Linked DNA regions of Yarrowia lipolytica. The protein of the gene in region 3 interacts with the protein of the main gene of each other region in a pairwise test. Links are inferred from orthologs where the notes say so. Each region holds a gene or a part of one and is shown on either strand. Other genes may lie near its edges.

What was found.
Region 1: the proteins of YALI1_E28046g (region 3) and YALI1_E29827g interact in a protein complementation assay, tested with the Saccharomyces cerevisiae proteins (2 studies listed by BioGRID). The link is inferred for Yarrowia lipolytica from reciprocal best matches to the Saccharomyces cerevisiae genes SHR3 and YMD8.
Region 2: the proteins of YALI1_E28046g (region 3) and YALI1_B05995g interact in binary tests that used the Saccharomyces cerevisiae proteins (3 or more experiments, as listed by UniProt). The link is inferred for Yarrowia lipolytica from reciprocal best matches to the Saccharomyces cerevisiae genes SHR3 and SND3.

The regions. Positions count from the first base shown.
Region 1 is NC_090774.1:2,980,916-2,984,438, forward strand, and holds YALI1_E29827g (uncharacterized protein), read right to left. Parts: upstream 1,799-3,523; coding exon 596-1,798; downstream 1-595. Other genes in the region: YALI1_E29840g (uncharacterized protein), read left to right, coding at 3,121-3,523.
Region 2 is NC_090771.1:597,707-600,877, reverse strand, and holds YALI1_B05995g (uncharacterized protein), read right to left. Parts: upstream 1,319-3,171; coding exon 1,141-1,318; intron 920-1,140; coding exon 519-919; downstream 1-518. Other genes in the region: YALI1_B05984g (uncharacterized protein), read right to left, coding at 1,873-2,403; YALI1_B05971g (uncharacterized protein), read right to left, coding at 2,471-3,171. UniProt on the Saccharomyces cerevisiae protein: Functions in the SND pathway, a SRP (signal recognition particle) and GET (guided entry of tail-anchored proteins) independent pathway for targeting a broad range of substrate proteins to the endoplasmic reticulum.
Region 3 is NC_090774.1:2,803,090-2,805,836, reverse strand, and holds YALI1_E28046g (uncharacterized protein), read right to left. Parts: upstream 1,206-2,747; coding exon 633-1,205; downstream 1-632. Other genes in the region: YALI1_E28052g (uncharacterized protein), read right to left, coding at 93-256, 534-585; YALI1_E28033g (40S ribosomal protein uS3), read left to right, coding at 2,547-2,747.

The DNA.
Region 1 (3,523 bases), about 180 kb from region 3:
ACTGTACACATACATCTGGCACTTATGTCCGAGTACAAACCAGTCAATGTTGTTTTCTGGCTATTCGTCTGATGTGGTAGAAGGAACACTGGTGAAGAGACTGTTCCGAACAAGAAGCCGAACTCCTGTCACTACAAGTAGCTACAAGTAGCTATTGTACCTGCAGAGTGCCAAGTCAGCATTCCAATTTGTTTTTAATTTGCTTTCGTCCTACATCTATCTTGATCTACTGTTTAGCTGGTCTGGGCTTCTCTTCCGTGGATCTTGACCAGGCTAATGTCTGTCTAGCTACATGTGGTAGAAATACATACTGTAGTTCAGTTATGGAACCCTTTTTGGTTCTTAGAATGTTCAAATGGTGGCAAGCAATGACACTACGACGGGCCAATTGCGACGCCAACGTCCTCGACGCCTGAAACTTGACACTATCGGAAGAATGCATCTCGGGTGTCCTAATTTGAGACTGTATACTTGTTGTAGTTCCATCTGTGACAGTAGCCATATAATCCGTGCCCTTCTTTCCATCATCTCTAAATGTCATTACAGTCTATTTTTATGTCGTATGCTCAGTTAGTCCGTTGCTCGTGCTCCCTCTTCACTCCTCAAATGTCTGCCATCGGTACCAGTTATAAGCAATGATGGCCAGCAGCGAGATCACCAGGCCAATAGTGTTGACCACAGACATGGTGTCGTCGTAGATCAGTGCACTGGCCACAATCGTGAGAATCTCCTTGAAGATGCCTCCAATAGAGAGTGTGATGACAGAGGTCTCCTGCAGCAGCGCGTACTCGGCCACAGTAAGGAAAAATGCAAAAAGTCCCGGGATGACCATGAGGAAAATCCCCCAAAGAAGGCCCTGGTCGGCCCAGAAATGGGATGTGACGAACGTCACAGGACCCTCCACAATCAGAGCAAACACGAACAGACACAGAGCCATCATGGGAGCCACGTTCTGAATCGTGGAAAAGGGGTTTGTAGTCGCAGGGCATCGTGTAAGAAGCAGCTGAGTCAGAGCCCATCTGAGACCTGACAGAACTGCTGCTCCTAAGACAAGCAGGAAGCCGATCAGATGGAACTTAGTCTCTCCGGCAACCATCATGACCACACCGATCATCAGCACCATTACCACGCTGATGAGCTTGACGTTGGGCTTTTCGATTCGGAACATGAAACCAAAGATCATGACCCAGCCCAGAGACGACGATTTGACCATGGTGTAGAAGGACACGGTGATATATTTTAGCGAGATGTTGCCCATTCCAATGTCTCCTCCCGTGGCCAGACCACAGGGGCCCATCTTGTATATGTACTCCCGCCACGTCAGAGGCACGTAGACCTCTCCCTTCTCTGTTGCCATCACACGGGGGTTGAAGCGTCGGGGGAACGCTGTAATGACTGCAGTAGCAAACGCAGTTTGTACCAGTTGGTGGATACCTGTGGCGAACAGCGGGAACCGAAAGTCCAGCTTTGTTGGATCAAACATCCACTTGTTGTATAACGTCAGGGAGAGAGAAAACGTGTACCAGCAAAGCAGGTAGGCTGTGCATTTGAGGGCGTGTTTGATCCACTTGTTTTTCTTGATGACGGCGGACTCTTTGTTCTCGGAGTCGCTCATCATCTCCATCTGGTGAAAGTCGTCTCCAATGGGATCGTCTTCCAGTAGAGCGTCGAGATCGGAGTCACTGTCGTTGTTGCCGCCGTGTCCATTGTGCCGCCGTTGCGAGTCTTCGCTGGTGGTCCGGCGCAGCATGCCGTCATCGCGCCCAGCCGGCGAGTCCAGCTGTTGGTACTGGCCCATATGTGTGTTTTGGTGTCAAGGGGGTTGAGATGTATCACGTGCGTTACGCGTGTCGTGAGGGGGTGCGATTAGATTTATCAGCGGGTTGGTGGAAGTCACGTGATCGGAATGGGTGTCGATTGGGTACCTCTGCTCTGTGTTGCCGCTACACTTGTTTTCCGCGCTCCTATGTCTCTGTTGGGGGTATAATTTTAGTGGCCGTGGTAGAGAACTGAACCACAACCACACACACCGGTGGACCAGCGCCTTTAGAGTTCGTTGCTGTTGAAGTGAGCCAGGTGGGACAAATACTGTAATTAAGCGTGTCGTTAAAGGGGTTTGATTGGGAGAGGATTACAAGTAGGCACTGTTATAATTATGTCCTTCTGGGCGAGCAGATGATGGCGTCGTGACATAGATAGTGTAGCGGTCGTATAAGTGGTCTCTACCGGGTCACAACTAGTGAGTATGTTCACATTCAAGTATTTGTACTCTTACTGTTTTGAAACCCACTTTACACACTCATCTTTCAACCACCTTTCCCCATACATACACAGTCAAAATAGGCATTGTAAGAGACGCACCTCGGCAGCAACCACAGCAATGCCACACGACCATACAAGTGGACCATAATAAATACAAGTGCAAACACAAGTACAAGCACACCGATAGACGCGGTCCACAGGACCTCAGAACCACCACATGCTGTCGAAACTGACTAAGCGCGATATACCCTAACCCCAACACATAATTTACTGTACGAGTACCGGTACAACTTGTACTTGCCTCCACACGTGCCTATCAACCAGCATCCATTTCCCTGCTGACGTAATAAGACGGCCCAACGTACAACATGGTGTAAATACGAAATACGACACACGGGACAGGTGAAGTAGGCCCAATATCATACGACTAATCGTAACCAACTCGCAGCATCACGAACACGTCGATGTTACTCTCAACGTCAACCCTAGGCTCGAAAAACCCTAGCTATAAATATTTCTCCGCCAAAGTTTGTATGCAATGCCATGCATTGAACCGAGTGAGGAGTTGAGAGGAGTTGGGGTGACAAGAGTTCCAAAATGTCGTAGGGTGGGCCATAGATGTATATGCTCGTTCATGGTGCGATACGGAGCAACCAAACAAGCCACGCCACGCCCAAAACAATGTTGATTAGACCCTTTAGCTCCACTATTGCACCGGTACTCGCATACTAATATAGATAAACTTTGAAGATGTCACAATAGTGCTATGGGTATGTACGGAAAGGTCCAGACGTCGCTCGCTCGACGGACTTAAGACAGAACAAAACAACACAGCTACTTGTGCACACGGCAGGAGCAATGAAACTCTCCAGCACACTACTCGCGTGCCTGGGGACGCTTGGAGCTACCCAGAGAGCTTTTCCAGTGTCCCATGGACCCACAGAACAGGAGCTCATGCCCTACTCATGGGATGATGTCTATGACTTTATGAGTGCGGACTTCCAGGACCAGTTTCACATTCAGTACGCTGATGGATCGATACGAGGCAAGAGGATCGACAAATACTTGCCCGATGACGCAATCCACCTGCGCAAACGACTGGTTAGTGACGAGGACTCAGCCAAAGTCAGTGGAGGACAGTTGTACTTGGATCTCATGATCGGCTGGTCCAAAGGTCATGGTGTGGGTGGCGACGACAAGCGGTACAAACTGTCTGTCAACCTGTGGAACAACGTGACGATCCTATACGACTACGAAGACA
Region 2 (3,171 bases), on a different chromosome or scaffold from region 3:
CTATCCGTTTTGACAGCATTAGCTGGAGCTGACGCGTGTCTACAAGACATAATAGGAAACTTGCTTGGAAGCATGCGACTCCTGGCATACGGATACGACTGCTAAGCCTACTGCTGACTACTCATCTTGGGTGAACTACAGAAACTGGAGTACAATACCGTATGTACACTCTTGTGATAGAGTACCCAGCTCCAACTCTTCAACGCATCCGACACGAGCTAACTGCTACTTACCCCGATCTGCTACAAGTACATTGATCACTGAACGAGCGCCATATCCGCTGACTCAAGCCATGGGTAAGGCTAGGCAACCATCGGCCCTCTCGTCATCTGTACTGCTGCCATAGACCCACTGGGATGAGAGATATCGTTGTTTTATCCCAATTGACATAATTTATTTCATTATTTATTCAAGGATTTAGTCTACAATTGTGTAGATCTGAGGCAGTCCTATGACTATGGCCCAGGCTCAGAATCACCAAGCTTGTGCAGTATACAATCTATTACTATTCATAACGCTTACTCCTCCTTAACACCTCCGGCACCGGCAGTCTCGGCGGCAGAAATGGTCTTCTTGTCGGTCTTGATGTCGCCACCGCCCATACCGGCTCCACCAAACATGGAGGCGGCCTTGAAGGGTCGCTTGAGATCGCCAATGGCGGGCTTGCCAAAGACGTGGATCTGGACAATGTTCTGCTCAATGGCGGACTTGATGGGCATGATGGACTGCAACAGAAGAGGGTTAGTGTACTTCATGTAGATGTGCATGAAACCCATCATGGCGATACCGGTGAAGACACCTCGGATGGCAGAGTTAACCTGCTTGATATCGTACTCCTTGATGGTGGTGGTCACGAGCTTGGGCTCCTCCTGGCCGCCGAAAGCGTTGGCAGGCTCGACGTATTTGAGGGTGGTGAGATCTGGGTTAGTACTGAAAGACGGTGAAGGCTGGGTGTAACTTGCGCAGATCACAGCAGTGAAAAAGATGACATGGACATTAGCTGTGACATATGCTGTGACATATGTGCCCTGTCTGTGAACTCTCTCTATGGACAGTGGCGCTGATCTGTTGACCAAACCACGTAGTAGCGTCCTTCGGGTCACGGAACACGACCACCGTCGGTTCTACTCTCATACTCACCATTCTTCTTGGTAATGATGGACCGGGTGTAAAGGTACAGGCCCAGGACCAGCAACTGGGCCACCACGTAGAGAATTCGGATGCCCATCAGCACCTGGGGGTCCTCAAAGGGCACCTTCTTGGACACCTGCATCATGACAAGCATGATGACGAGGTTGGAAATAGCAGGGTTGACCATTTTTGCGGTTTTTTGGGGGGAGCGTTGGCTGTGTGGGTTTTTTTTAGTGGTGGCGTATGACGACAAGGAAGATCGTGGGTTTGGGGTTATGGGGGTTTTACAATACGTTGCAAGTAATAAAGTTTGCCGTGGGAAATTTCACCACCGCCAAACTGGGTCGAACGGCACACGTTATCGGAGCCATAACAATATGGAAGGTTCCAGCAGCATAGATTTGGGCGGAATAAAAAATAAACATTAAATATAAAATGAAATTAAAAAAATAAAAAAATAAAAAATTGAGAAATTGGGCGCGGAAATTCGGGAAAATCCGGGGAAATCCGGGGAAATCCGGAAAAATTGCGGCCAGAATCGTTTCTTGGAGGTGAAATTTTCGCAGATATTTGGACATGTTATAAAATAACTTTCCATCTTGGTCTCCTCACCCCAGACCTTCGGTCTACCACTCGTATTGCACGTATGTACAGTAGTGTAAATTCGGGTTGTTTGGTTGTTTAGTTCTGTCTACCTGTATGTAATATGAAGTCACGTCACGTGGCTGTGTGTACTCGGCGTTAGTTGGATTCGGGCAGATGGGGGTTCCTGTTTTGTTTATGGATTTTGCGCCGTTTTTCCCGAAAAAATAATGAAAAAATAAAAATATTTGCTCGTGATTTTCTGGCTCTTATCAGTATGGCTGGCTCGCTTCTTTTTATGGGACTGCAGGGTGTGCATGGTGGCAGTAAATTCACCTGAAATTGCAGAAAGTGAAGAAAAAAAATTGAAAAAATTGAAAAAATTGAAAAAATTGAAAAAAGACTTAGAAAAACACATGAAAGGATCCTAGGATGCCGTACAGTACCACCATTGTAGAAATATAAAATCAGTTCAGTTCCCACAGTGTCCTGTCGAGATTCCCTGTCTGATACCGTGAAACGGAAAAGTTGTCTGCAGTGAGTTAAGTACGTAGATGCAATACAAATGCCCACTCTCAATATCAGTAATAAAGACTTAAGTATACAATGCAAACCCTTGTTCAGGGATATAATTAGCTGTTCATGGGCTGAACGGGACTGAAGGACTCGTGCCGACTCATGCCGTCTCATGCCGTCTCGTGCTGTCTCATGCGCTGTTCAACATGCCCAAAATGACTGCATCAGACGAATTACAGCCCTAACTGTAGTGGATCGAAACAGCCACTGGTAAGGCAACAATAGTTGCAATAATGGTCACTACCTTGGTGGCCCACCATAGATGCTGGACGACAAAGGGACACAGAGAGTAGTCAAAGTCGTACTTGCCCTCTGTATCGTTCCAGCTGCCTGTCAGCAGGCCTGTGTTGCCGCCAAACTCGCCCATCATGCTTCGAACGGTATATTCTGACACGGCATTGCCTCTTCCACCCTCAACTGTCCAGTTTCCGTGTCCAGGATCAAAGCTGTAACTGGAAACACAACCCTCGTGATCGTGGCCAGCCAAGATAACGCCTCGAGGATCTTCCCTGCCGAAGATACCGTCAAGAAGTCGGTTGGTAGCATCCTCAGAAAGATGGTTCTGAGACCGCAGCCACTTGTACTCGTTATCATAGTACTTAAACATGGGTCCGTCGGCACAAATGCCTGCCGGCTTGTAAAGAGGCACGTGGGTCATGAGAATGGTCGACACGTCGGGCTCCTGTTCTCGAGCCTGTCTCACCATATCCACAAACATCCAGCAATCGTTTTGGAACTGCTGTTCGTAAACGGGACCGTCTAGAGCCAGATTATTGAGCACCACGACACGATACCCTTTTCTGGGCACATAATAGTTGACTCTGCCAAATCGGTTTTCGAATCGGTCGATCCGTTCACGCGTCATTTCTCCTCCATATCCAA
Region 3 (2,747 bases):
GTTGGAGAAGGCGATAACAATATCAGAAAGGAAGTGCCGGTCTGTACATCTGAGGAAGGGGAGAGTTGGTCTTGATTCGGTCCAGAAGTCACCTACTTGTAGTATTCACCAAGAGCGACATAGATGTAGTACAACACTCCAAGAGGATGATACCAGCGACAATGGGTGAAACTCTTAATCAAAAAAGTTGATTCTTCTGGTCTCCTTCTATCAAAGTGTTTCTGGAGCCACTTGGAGGCTCTTATGAGAGGCTGAGCTCAAGTCTTCCAACTTGTCTTATACCACAGTGACGGAGCACAAGTAGTTGGAACATGTTCAATTCAAGTACAATCAGTTGAAGCAGTCAGTCAGGACAAGCTGGGTTGTAGATAGCTCTCTTGTAGCAGTAGTGGTTGAAGTATCGACAACCGGGAGATGTGCTCCAACGATGAACTAGATCGCAGTATGAACACTTGCAGAACAACTACAGCCATACCAGCGTGAAAGACAATACAACGAGATCCGTACGACGGCGCTGTACTGGTACTACCTACTCTTGTATTCAACTACGGACACAGTCCTAATACACAACACGTTCACGTACATACCTCACTTTTACGCACAGAGCCCTGTACTATCCACTACCGGTAGGCCTACTTGGTCTTCTTGGACTCCTTGGACTCCTTCTTGTCCTTCTTTTCCTTCTTTTCCTCGTCGTCAAACTTCTTTTTGAGCTTGGCGTCCTCTCGCTCGGCCCACCACTGGCCCACCTGGAGCCCCAGCACGCCGAGAAGCACAAAGACAATCATGACCTGGGAGGCGGCAATGACGTTGATTCCCGTGTGTTCGTCCACGTCGCCCCAGTTGCCGTCCACGGCCGACGCCAGGCCCCGTCGGATGTTGGTCAGGTAGATGGTGACGCCAACCATGTACAGAAACAGCGAGCCGCCGTCAAACAGCTTGTTGGACTCGCTGGGCTTGTACAGCTTGATGAAGAAGCCAATCAGCCCCAGTCCGATCACCGTGTGGTGGATGTGGTACACAAACATGGGGCAGTCGTACCACGCCTTGTAGTGGTCCAGAGAGGCGGTGTATCGAGACTCCGGCGGAGCGGCCGTCCACAGAGTGAAGAAATCATAGGGCCAGTTGGAGTACAGAACGCCCAGAGAGAAGGACGTGGCGCACAGAATCAGCGCGGACGAAATGGAGGATGCAGATGTCGGCATGGTGGCGATAAATGTGTCTGGTCAGAGGTGCAAACACGTCTGTAGTGATGGTGTCAGCGTTTGTTAAACTTGACTGAACCTTATGACAGGAAGATTAGAGGGGGGGGGTAATGGGGGGGGGGGGTGAACTGGGACACCGGAATATGGGAAATGAGAATGGTGGGACAAAGGGCTATAAAAATCCAGACCTCAAATTACCTAAGCGGGTCATTTTTTCGGTCATTTTTTCGTGATTTTTTGCGATTTTTAGCCTCCATTCGGGGCCCCTTCAATATCACTCGTTTTCACAACTGTCTCAGGCCTGTCTCAGGTCCCTCCCAACTTATGGCAGGGCTGGACAACTCAACAACATTCTGGGGTTAGATCTGTGTCTGGGGGTTGGGGGAGGTTAATTTTTTTGCTAACGGCGCTTGTGGGGCTATACTTGATTACGTAACCGAGTTTTGGGCTTACTTTTGCCATCATCCCGGGGCCGTCTTGATGCGAGTTGATGCGAGTTGTCGCGAGTTGTTCCTATCTTCGGAGAGTTGCACACGGCCTCAAGGGGAGTTGCAAACGGCGTCATGTGGGTGTCATGGTGATGGTGGACGATAAAGGCAATAGAATGGTTATATTGGTGATTTGTGTCTAATTTAATCATTTCTAGCGTCCTCTAGCGTCCTCTAGCGTCCTCCAGCGTCTTCCAGCGCCCTACAAAGTCCCCCTTTCTTCCTCATTTTCAACAAAACTCCCAACTAATTCCCGTGAATTGTAATACACAGACGATGCAGTTGGCGGAGGCTATTTGGTAATGATCGAGTGAGAGAGTGCGAGTGAGAATGCGAGTACCTGTACTGGTAGCTCCGCTCCACCTGAGGGGTTTTTAATATTGTTTTTTTATGTGTTTTCGTTTTTATTTTTTTTTTTTTTTTTTTATTTTTATTTTTATTTTATTTTTATTATATTTATATTTTTGTAAGATCGCACAATTTAGACTAGGGTGACTTTCCTTACAATTTTACTTTACTTTACTTACCTTGTCTTAGATCTCGAATACCCATTTTACCATACAAACCTGACGGTTTTTATTTATTTATTTATTTTATTATTATTTTTGAGCACTTTCTGGATCAATACAGCCCAAAAACAACCAAAATTTCCCAATACAGCCAAACACAAGCTCACCATTACCGCACATCTCTAAATCGCACATTACATAAGCGTCCAAACCTCCCAATAAAGACTCAACACGTGACAGGGTTTAGCCCTAACTGGCAAAACAAGGTTCAGAATTTTCACGACTCACCTCCCAGCAGGCAAAATATCCCATTCTGCGCGAATCCATCCACACACACAACAGCAATGTCCTCCACTGTCACCATTTCCAAGAAGCGAAAGATCGTCGCCGACGGTGTTTTCTACGCCGAGCTCAACGAGTTCTTCACCCGAGAGCTCGCCGAGGAGGGATACTCCGGCGTCGAGGTCCGACTCACCCCCACCAAGACTGAGATTGTTGTCCGAGCCACCCACACCAACAAGGTCCTTGGTGAGAACGGCCGACGA